Linked DNA regions of Mus musculus: region 2 is reported to be linked to region 1. Evidence: microRNA targets listed by miRTarBase, many of them from high-throughput screens and not tested one by one. Region 1 holds a microRNA gene; the other region holds the end of a gene's coding sequence.
The links. The annotated mature microRNA mmu-miR-693-3p reads GCAGCUUUCAGAUGUGGCUGUAA and lies in region 1 at 2,490-2,512, shown strand. An mRNA with a match to its seed (bases 2 to 7 or 8) in the 3' UTR can be bound and repressed. Matches are read on the target gene's strand: a 7mer-m8 pairs with bases 2 to 8, a 7mer-A1 pairs with bases 2 to 7 and ends in A, and an 8mer does both.

Region 2: the mRNA of Tmem65 is a reported target of mmu-miR-693-3p. Seed matches in the 3' UTR shown: 7mer-m8 at 1,508-1,514.

The regions. Positions count from the first base shown.
Region 1 is chr17:46,229,092-46,233,484 of GRCm38, forward strand. Mir693 (microRNA 693) reads left to right here and starts at 2,440; the gene lies at 2,440-2,528. Xpo5 (exportin 5) reads left to right here. Exons shown (of 32, transcript NM_028198.3): 19 at 221-320; 20 at 1,108-1,289. Gm22474 (a small nuclear RNA gene) reads right to left here and starts at 3,740; the gene lies at 3,634-3,740.
Region 2 is chr15:58,780,831-58,785,223 of GRCm38, reverse strand. It overlaps Tmem65 (transmembrane protein 65), which reads left to right. Exons shown (of 7, transcript NM_175212.4): 7 at 214-2,955. The coding sequence ends at 315. Among named protein-coding and RNA genes, the nearest start is that of Gm41329, 23 kb to the right of the region's middle.

The sequences.
Region 1 (4,393 bases):
CTTTTTCAGACAACCAGAGTTAGTGCCCAACACCAGGCTGACTTGCTCACAGCCGCTTGTAACAAGCTCCAGGGGACCCATGGTCTCTTTTGGCCTCTGAGGTCACCTGTACTCATATACATACCCCACACAGACATGCACATACACTTAGCTGAAAAGAAAGTAAATCTCTGTCTAAACAAAGATCATGATAGAACTTTTCTTCCTCCCCTCCCTTCAGAGCGCTGTCAGATATTGACTCCTTCATTGCCTATGTGGGTGCTGATCTGAAAAGCTGTGACCCAGCTGTGGAGGATCCATGTGGCTTGAACCGTGCACGAGTAAGACTCTCCTGGGAATGGGAAGTTTCACTGGCCACGGGCAGGAGTTAGGGTGTTTCATTGATCAAGTTTCTCAGATTTGTTTTGTCTGTACTGCTGAGAGACCCAAGAGTCTCTCCTGCCCTAAGCTTCTCCTTTCTTTTCTTCTTTAGTCTTGAATTCTTGAGTTAGTTCTCACAACAGAGCAGATGGTCTTTTCTATGAAGTCATTATTTTGGCTTTAAGGATCCCTAAGTAGCTCGGAAGACTGGAGGTGTAATGAGGAAGTAGGTCAGACTTGGTGGCAGGGTGAGTCCCCCCTGCTATTGCTCGCTGGCATGTGAAGTCCTAGGTGATGGCCAAATCTTGAGACCCTGAGGCCTTCCAGTGCACCGGTGCTCAGATAAGCCACTACGGTGAAAGACACATGACCAGCCTGGCATGAGGGGTTGGGGGTTAGGATGCAGGCTGTGGAGTCCTGGATGGAGGGTCAGGTAAAAAAAAAAATGGCAGTTTAAATACTTGGTGGTGGAGCTCATCCAAACCACCCCTACCCCAGGGTCATTAAACCCCTGGAAAGACATGCTAATGAGAAGGGAGCTTCCAGAGCTTCCTCCCACGGGTCCTGAGAAACGGCAGTGAGAAGACCTCCCTTGGACTGGACCATAAGGACAAGGACTGAGGTCTCGCTGGGGTGGGAGACACAGGCTTCTTCCCCGTCTCTGTCGGTGACACTGCGCTGTCCCCCTGCATGTGTGTCTCAGTGCTCTCCCCTTATCCCGGCTGTGTTTTTCCTTCTTCTCTCTAGATGAGCTTTTGTGTGTACAGCATCCTGGGGGTTATGAGACGCACTAGCTGGCCTTCCGACCTAGAAGAAGCCAAAGCTGGGGGCTTTGTGGTGGGCTACACACCCAGTGGAAATCCCATCTTCCGTAACCCCTGCACAGAGCAGATCCTCAGACTTCTCGACAATTTGCTTGCCCTTGTAAGGTGAGTCAGAGATAGTCTTTGTCCTTATTTTAGCCTTAAGAATCTCAAAAGTTTCTAATCTTCTCTTTCTCATTGCACTGGTGGTGTGGGATTAGGTCCTGACTCTTTTGAGAGGGAGGCTCATCTTTCTAAGGACAGTTGGCCTCCCTGTGTGAGGTGTGCTCTCTCCATAGGCATAACAGTGTTGTAGTATCCTGTTTTAGTTTTCAAGACAGGGCCTCTCTGTAACCTTGACTATCGTGGAACTCACTCTGTAGACCAGGCTGGCCTCAAACTCAAGATCGGCCTGCCTCTGCCTCCCCAGTGCTGGGATTAAAGGTGTGCGCAGTTTTTTATTGTTGGTTTGCTGGAGACTGACATGGGCCTTGTGCATCCGAGGCCACAGTGTACCACTGAGGTACATCCCAGCCCTCTCTTATTTCCTTACAGCTTATACCTACTTTTAAGGTTATTTTGTCTAAATTTTTAGTAGGAAGGAAACGGCTTGTTGGGAGCGGGACAGTTGGTTTCTGTAGTAGTGTTTCTCCAGATGGTGTCCATGTGCACTAGTAGAATTTCTCACCAATGACTGAACTCATGTAGGCCAAGCATCCGATGGCTCAGCAAGCCAGAGGAGAGCAGGATGTCTGTCACCTCAGTTTGTGCAGCCTTCACTGTGAGACCTGTGGCATCAGCAGCTACCTGAGCCCTTGCTCAAAAAGCAGAATTAGGGACGCACTGCAGACTGTAAATGTTAACAAGCTACCTGGGAGTTTCATGTACACATGGAAGAGTCAGCAGCGTCACCCTAGGTCACAGGAACTGACCTGCTCACATGAGAGGTGCTCAGGCTAGGCTTGTTGATACTTTTAAACTATAGAAGTGAAACATTTAAAAAACGTGCAGTCCTTGGTCTCTGACTTCTATTGCTCAACATCATGGTGTGGGAGCCATGAGTTATGTGTAGCTGGGTCTGTTTCTTCTTCCCGTCTATGTGGTGTCCTGCTATGTGGCTGTGCTGTTTCTTATTGATCCTGGTGGGCTTTTGGACAGAATTTTGATAACACGCATACAGTAAATTTAATAATAAGCTACTCTCAGGATCTTGAAAGTGTACTTGTAAGATATTTGCATATTCTTGTTGGTTATACACGGGAGGGTAGAAATCCTGAGTTGTAGGCATGCTCATTACAGCCACATCCGAAAGTTTTCCTGGCTAGGGCAGCTTTCAGATGTGGCTGTAATGAGCATGCTCCCAGCAACGGCATACAGGAATGATGGAAAGTTTTTGGTTCTTTCTTTTTGTTGCTTTTGAAGCAGTGTACCGCCAGCCCTTGGCGAGATTGGGGGCGGGGGTGCACTGACAAGGGGTGCATGCAGAAGCCAGAGACGGATGTCAGGGTATCTCCATTGTTAATTCTCTGCCTTATTATTTGAGACACAGTCTTCGACTTGAACCTACACCTGGAAGTTTGGCGAGACTGGCTGACCAGAGAATCCTTGATTGTGTCTATTTCTGTACACTCAGCACTGCTGGCATAGCAAGCATTTTGCTCTCTAAGCCATCTCCCCTTTTCTGTTTTTAATTATGTTTTGGGCTAGTAGATTTTATTCTTGGTAATCCAGGCTGGTTTTTTGTTTGTTTGTTTGGTTGGTTTTTTGGGTTTTTTTGTTTTTGGTTTTTTTTGCATGTTTACAGACATTTATTACTTTGTGTTATTGTCACAGAGGTCAATTTATTCTGTTTTTTTCCCCCCACTTTTTTTTATTAGATATTTTCTTCATTTACACTTCAAATGCTATCCCAAAAGTCCTCTATACCCTCCCCCCTCCCTGCTCCCCTACCCACTTACTCCCACTTCTTGGCCTTGGCGTTCCCCTGTACTGGGGCATGTAAAGTTTGCTAGACCAAGGGGCCTCTCTTCTCAATGATAGCAGACTAGGCCATCTTCTGCTACATATGCAGCTAAAGACATGAGCTCTGGGGGTACTGATTAGTTCATATTTTTGTCCCACCTATAAGGTTGCAGACCCCTTCAGCTCTTGAGAACTTTCTCTAGCTCCTATATTGGGAGCCCTGTGTTCCATCCTATAGATGACTGTGAACATCCACTTCTGTATTTGCCAGGCACTGGCCTAGCCTCACAGGAGACAGCTATATCAGAATCTTTTCAGCAAAATCTTGCTGGCATATGCAGTAGTGTCTGCGTTTGGTGGCTGATTATGGGGTAGACTCCTGGGTGGGGCAGTCTCTGGATGGTCCATCCTTTTGTCTTAGCTCCAAACTTTGTCTCTGCAACTCCTTCCATGGATATTTTATTCCGTATTCTAGGGAGGAATGAAGTATCCACACGTTGGTCTTCCTAAAAATATGGAACGCTTCACGAATTTGTGTGTCATCCTTGCACAGGGGCCATGCTAATCTTCTCTGTATTGTTCCAATTTTAGTATATGTGCTGCCGAAGTGAGCACCCAGGCTGGTCTTTAACTCACTGTGACCGTCTACTTCCCAACCGTCACCATACCCAGCCTAGGGTATTTGTTTGTTTGTTTGTTTTTATGATCACATTTAATTAAAAGTAAAAACAGCAGGCAGGTATACTGCAAAGCCATTTCCAGCACATATAATCAGATCACTTGGGGCTAAAGCAGGAGACTCTTGGGCACAAAATATTGTCTCAGAAAAACCCAAAACAAATGGGCTTGTTTCACATGCCTTTAATACTAGTCAGGCTGGTATCTGTGGGGTCACGGCCAGTTTGGTCTACAAGTTCAAGACCTTGTCCTTTTTTTTGTGCATTGGTGTTTTTACTGCATGTATACCTGTGTGAAATTGTCAGATCCCCTGGAACTGGAGTCACAGACAGTTGTGAGCTGCCATGTGGGTGCTAGGAAGTGGACCCAGGTCCTCTGGAAGAACAGCCAGTGTTTTTAACCACTGAACTAGCGAGACAGCCCCAAAACCTCCTCTTCTTTAAAAAAAAAAGAGGGGGGAGAGAAATTATGGCTCATTTGCTTAGAGTCAAGTTTAAATTCATTCAAGTAATTATATCAGACATTATTTTATAGTATTACCACCATCCCAAAGTTCAGAGAGAATTTTGTTTCAGAAAGCAAAATACTGT
Region 2 (4,393 bases), not on the chromosome of region 1:
TTTTTTTTCTTCTGTTCCTTTAAATTTTAAAATGACGTGTTCTTGAACATTTGGTAGCTTATTTTAATACGTAGGTTTCTGTAATCAATAGGAATACAGTTGTAGTGGGAATTACATAGTGTATGGCAGTGGGCTGTTGTCATCAGTCTGTAAGCAAGGATACCTCTTTTCGGGACATGTAATTTTAAGAAGTACTCTCTTCTGTTTCCGTAGGGCAAGGCTGTTGGGGTGACGATCGGCTGCATTCTAGGAATGTTCCCGTTGATTTTCTTTGGAGGAAGTGAAGAGGATGAGAAACTGGAAACAACAAATTAATCACCTTAGAACACCTATAAGAAGATGTAAACTAATGTACCTCATCATTAACTATACTGTCCCCACAGTTAGCAGTGAAGACAGTAGCAGTGTATAGATACGGGATCAAATAACTCAGCATGTACTATGGAAACACTAACTTATTGTGGCTTGGTCTTCTTAAGACATCTTTTTAAACTTACTTAGTATCATTTTATGTAAATTGTTGATGCTTTCCATCAATGGCAGTCGACATGTCATCTTTTCCTTCTCTGTGTATCAAGATATTATTTAACTTTCAGTCACTGATACTGTACTGTACTGTACTGTTCTGACTTGGGTTTGCATATTTGTTACATAACATGCACGGGAATACCTATTTATGGTTTTATTTTTATTTTTCCTATGGTTATATCAATGCTGCGGTTTCTCCAAATTATTTAAGATGTTTAATATCAGTTAACATTTTAACTCCCTGTCTGGTGGTATTACTTCTGTGTTAATTCACAGTGAACATTTACAATCATATAAATTCATTCAATTTTTAACCTTTCACATCTATCCAAAATGAAGCAGTGTTTTAAGTATGTCTGATTCACTTTAATTTTGAGCCATGCTGTGTTAAGAGCCAGAGGTTAATCGGATGGAACAATTCTCTGGCCTCCCTTTTACACAAACCATACATGCTAACAAGTGTACTTATCTCTGATTGGCTCTTTACCTTTAATTTCCCAACTTTGAACAATCACACAGTGAATTCTGGTTTGTGAGAGAAAGGCAGTGCTTGGATATGTCCGGTCTCTTAAAATAGGGATTAAGAGAGTAGGGAAAACTAAGAAATTTATAATGACATTTGGAAATTAGGCTAAAATAATTTTTTTTTTATAGAAAATGGAAATTTTCAAGGAGGTTGTGTGGGGTGGATGATAAAGTTCCAGTGCTGCCGGGAAGGTTCAGGAAGCATCAGTTCTATGGCTTTGGAAAGAGTTTCCCCTGATGTGTTGTCATTGTCTCATGGAACGGAAGGAGCCAAAATATCCCATGCTTAATCCTAATCTCATTAGATCTTGCTTTGTGACTTTTTTCTGGATGAATATTTTAGAAACAACATGTATTTTCTAGTTTGCTACCTAGTCTGTAACACAAGGAGAGGTCCTTTCTCCCTTTGGTGGATGGTTTTCTTCTTTCGTGGTGGTTATGCACACAGTTGGTGAAAGCTGTGTGTGTGTGTGTGTGTGTGTGTGTGTGTGTGTGACAGCTGTGTCCTGTGTCTGACCTGAACACCGTCCTGAGAATCCCGAGCTTTAATTGCTGAACTGCCCCCCCCCTTTATCTCATTTGCTCTACATGTTAAAAAGTTATATGTAGCAGAATAATTGGACATGTGGAAGAGAGAAACTGAAGTTAGAATTTAATCCTTGGGGAATTAAAATTATTCATGTTTCCTAAGTAGATGGAAAAGATGAACTTCACGTGACTATGCTTTCTAAATCTTATTTTGGAGTTTTGTTTGCACATAATTACTTTGGGCTCCTTTTAAAGAAAATTTCTTTTCCATAAGAAAGCATGTCATATATTGTTTTCTTTGCACTTTGTCCTGTCCATTTATCATAGAATTTAAGGAAAGATAGCATAAAAGTAAAAAACATCAAATTCTCATATACACAAGTAATATTCTCCTTTGGTCAGGCTAGCATCACATGACTTGAGGTGGCAGACAGATTCATCTTTGCTCACATGTCCCACGACAGCAAGCACAAGGTTCCAGGTGAAAGGCTAGAATGCACATTTTACTTTCTGTGTAGACATGTGAGTGCTCTTTCCTTCCCTTGTGTATCGGTGGCATGTCCTGTCTTTGTTTGTCAGTGCTGTATTGTGGTGCTTAACTCTTCTTTGTATTAAATACCATCTCCAGAAACTTGTCTTGGAGTTTAGAAAGCACTTTGGATTGTTGATTTTTTTTTTCTTTCTCTTGAAAAAGCTCCTCGTCCTTATTACCAGAATTTCTGTTAACAGAATTATGCCAGTTTTGTTGAAAACTTCACTTATGGGAGGTGTAACTTTCACACGAAAGACATGCTAATTTTCAGTCAAAATTTTTGAATCATATTTAATCAATAAAATGCTTTCAATCATTATGATACTTCGTTTTCAAAAGCAGACAAACAAAATTAAAGTCTCGTTCTCTCGAGCTCTGGCTCTGACCTAACATGGTACTTTGCACAGTGTGATTTCTGAAGGTGGCCCCTTTAAGTTAAGGACTCCATACCACCCGTGTTGAGCGTTTTTCACCACAGAGACTCTGATGCCAGCTGAAACTGGACTGCCCTCTTTCTCATAGCAGCTGTTCTCTATCAGCGTTAGAGCTGCAGCGGACGGCATCGTGCGCTGCTGTAGTCCTGTCTGTTCAGAATCCATGGTGTTTGTGTATTATGATTTATGGACTTGTTGATGCATGTAAACTGGGTGCATTCTGTTGCCTCTGTATGTTAAATAGTGACCAATGTTTTTACGAAAGAATTGAACAAAAAAATATCTTTTAAGACGTTTGGAATGTGGTTTTTGATTTTAAAATTTGGTTTTCTTATTAATCTCAGAGGCGCTGGGTTATTCTATGACAGAAGGAAACAGGATCAATGAATAAATGCAGGTTTGTAATGACGCGGCTTCTGTATCTGCCCTCTTAGAGCTCCCACTGATGTGAACCCCATGGAGTGTGAGAGAAGGATGATTCCATGAAACAGCTGCGAACGAGCGCTAGGCCTTCCAGCCCCAGAGGCTGCTCAGGCTGCTCAGTTCACTTCAGGCTTTGTCTCCATGCAGGGCACTGTGAAAGCAGTGGAAGGGTTAAAATTTACACTGCTCCTTGGTCTGATCTCACTCCTCCCCTAACTCCTCCCAGGCTCCTTTCACACCTGACTTTGAGCCCCTACCTCACCCCACCCCACTCACCCTCACCCTCCATCCCACCAAGGCCAAGTTGTGCTGCCAAATAGTCCTGGCTGAGTGGCCTTCCTCTGGAGTGTGGCTGGCTTGTCAGGGCTGCTATACTCTTAGAGAAAACTGACCCTTCCTTTCTCACAAATAACAAAAGACAATACAAGCTTCTGTCTGACACCAAAAGTTTATGTAAGCTGTTTTGAAGCAAATCTGCCTAGTTTTAGAATTCCACATTATTTATGGACATTTTTACTGTGCTGTATTTTGTTTTGAAATAAAGTACCTGGGGATAGAATTATAGTTTTTTCATCCCCACCTCTTTTGAGGTGCTCTTCTGGGAACAATTGCTTAGTCTGCTCCCCCCCCCCCCAAGTTGTGTAGATTTAGAAAGTGAATTCCCATTCTTACCATGAATTATTTGAAAAGATAGGAAATGTGTTTTGGACTCCAGTGGCAGTAACATCATTGCCTCCCTTTTTATTACCATTGCTTTGTTGCTCTGTGCTGCAGTGTTTCACACATCTTACCACGGTGAATCCCAACTGCACTGTTGATGCAGTTGCCTTATTTTATGTTGGGTAAACTGAGGCACAGTGAAGACACAGCATTATCTACCTGTGGGCTTGAATTAGCTGTGTCCATGTATGCTCCTTATGATCTTACTCGATAGGACATCATTCTTACGAACGTTGTGTTATCTGTTGTTTTAATAAAGAAATTCACGTTCTTTTTACAAAGAAACAGTTTTTCAAAAACCAATTCATTTTCTCATCTATAACCTATCAGATCTTGTTGGAAATCTCAAGCTCTGCTTGATAAATTCTGTCAGCCTGGTTACATTCAGTGTGCTAGCAGCTGTTTAAGGAACTAATACCTACTGTTTGTCTGTGAGGTGTTTTCGCTTTTCTCCTTTTCTTGACACAAAGTCTCACTATGCTGGTACCAAACTTAGGGCATTTCTTTCACCTCTGTTTTTGAGCGCTGGAGTTAGAGGCCTGTACCACCAGACTTAGTGTCTCTGTCTTCATGAAGCTTATTCTGTTGGGAACATAGGTGGGGGGAAAAGAACATAGAAATAAATGCATGCTTAAAATGTTAGCATGCACAGTACAGATAGACATCTGTGCAGAGAAGTGTGCTAGATTCTAGGAAATTGATG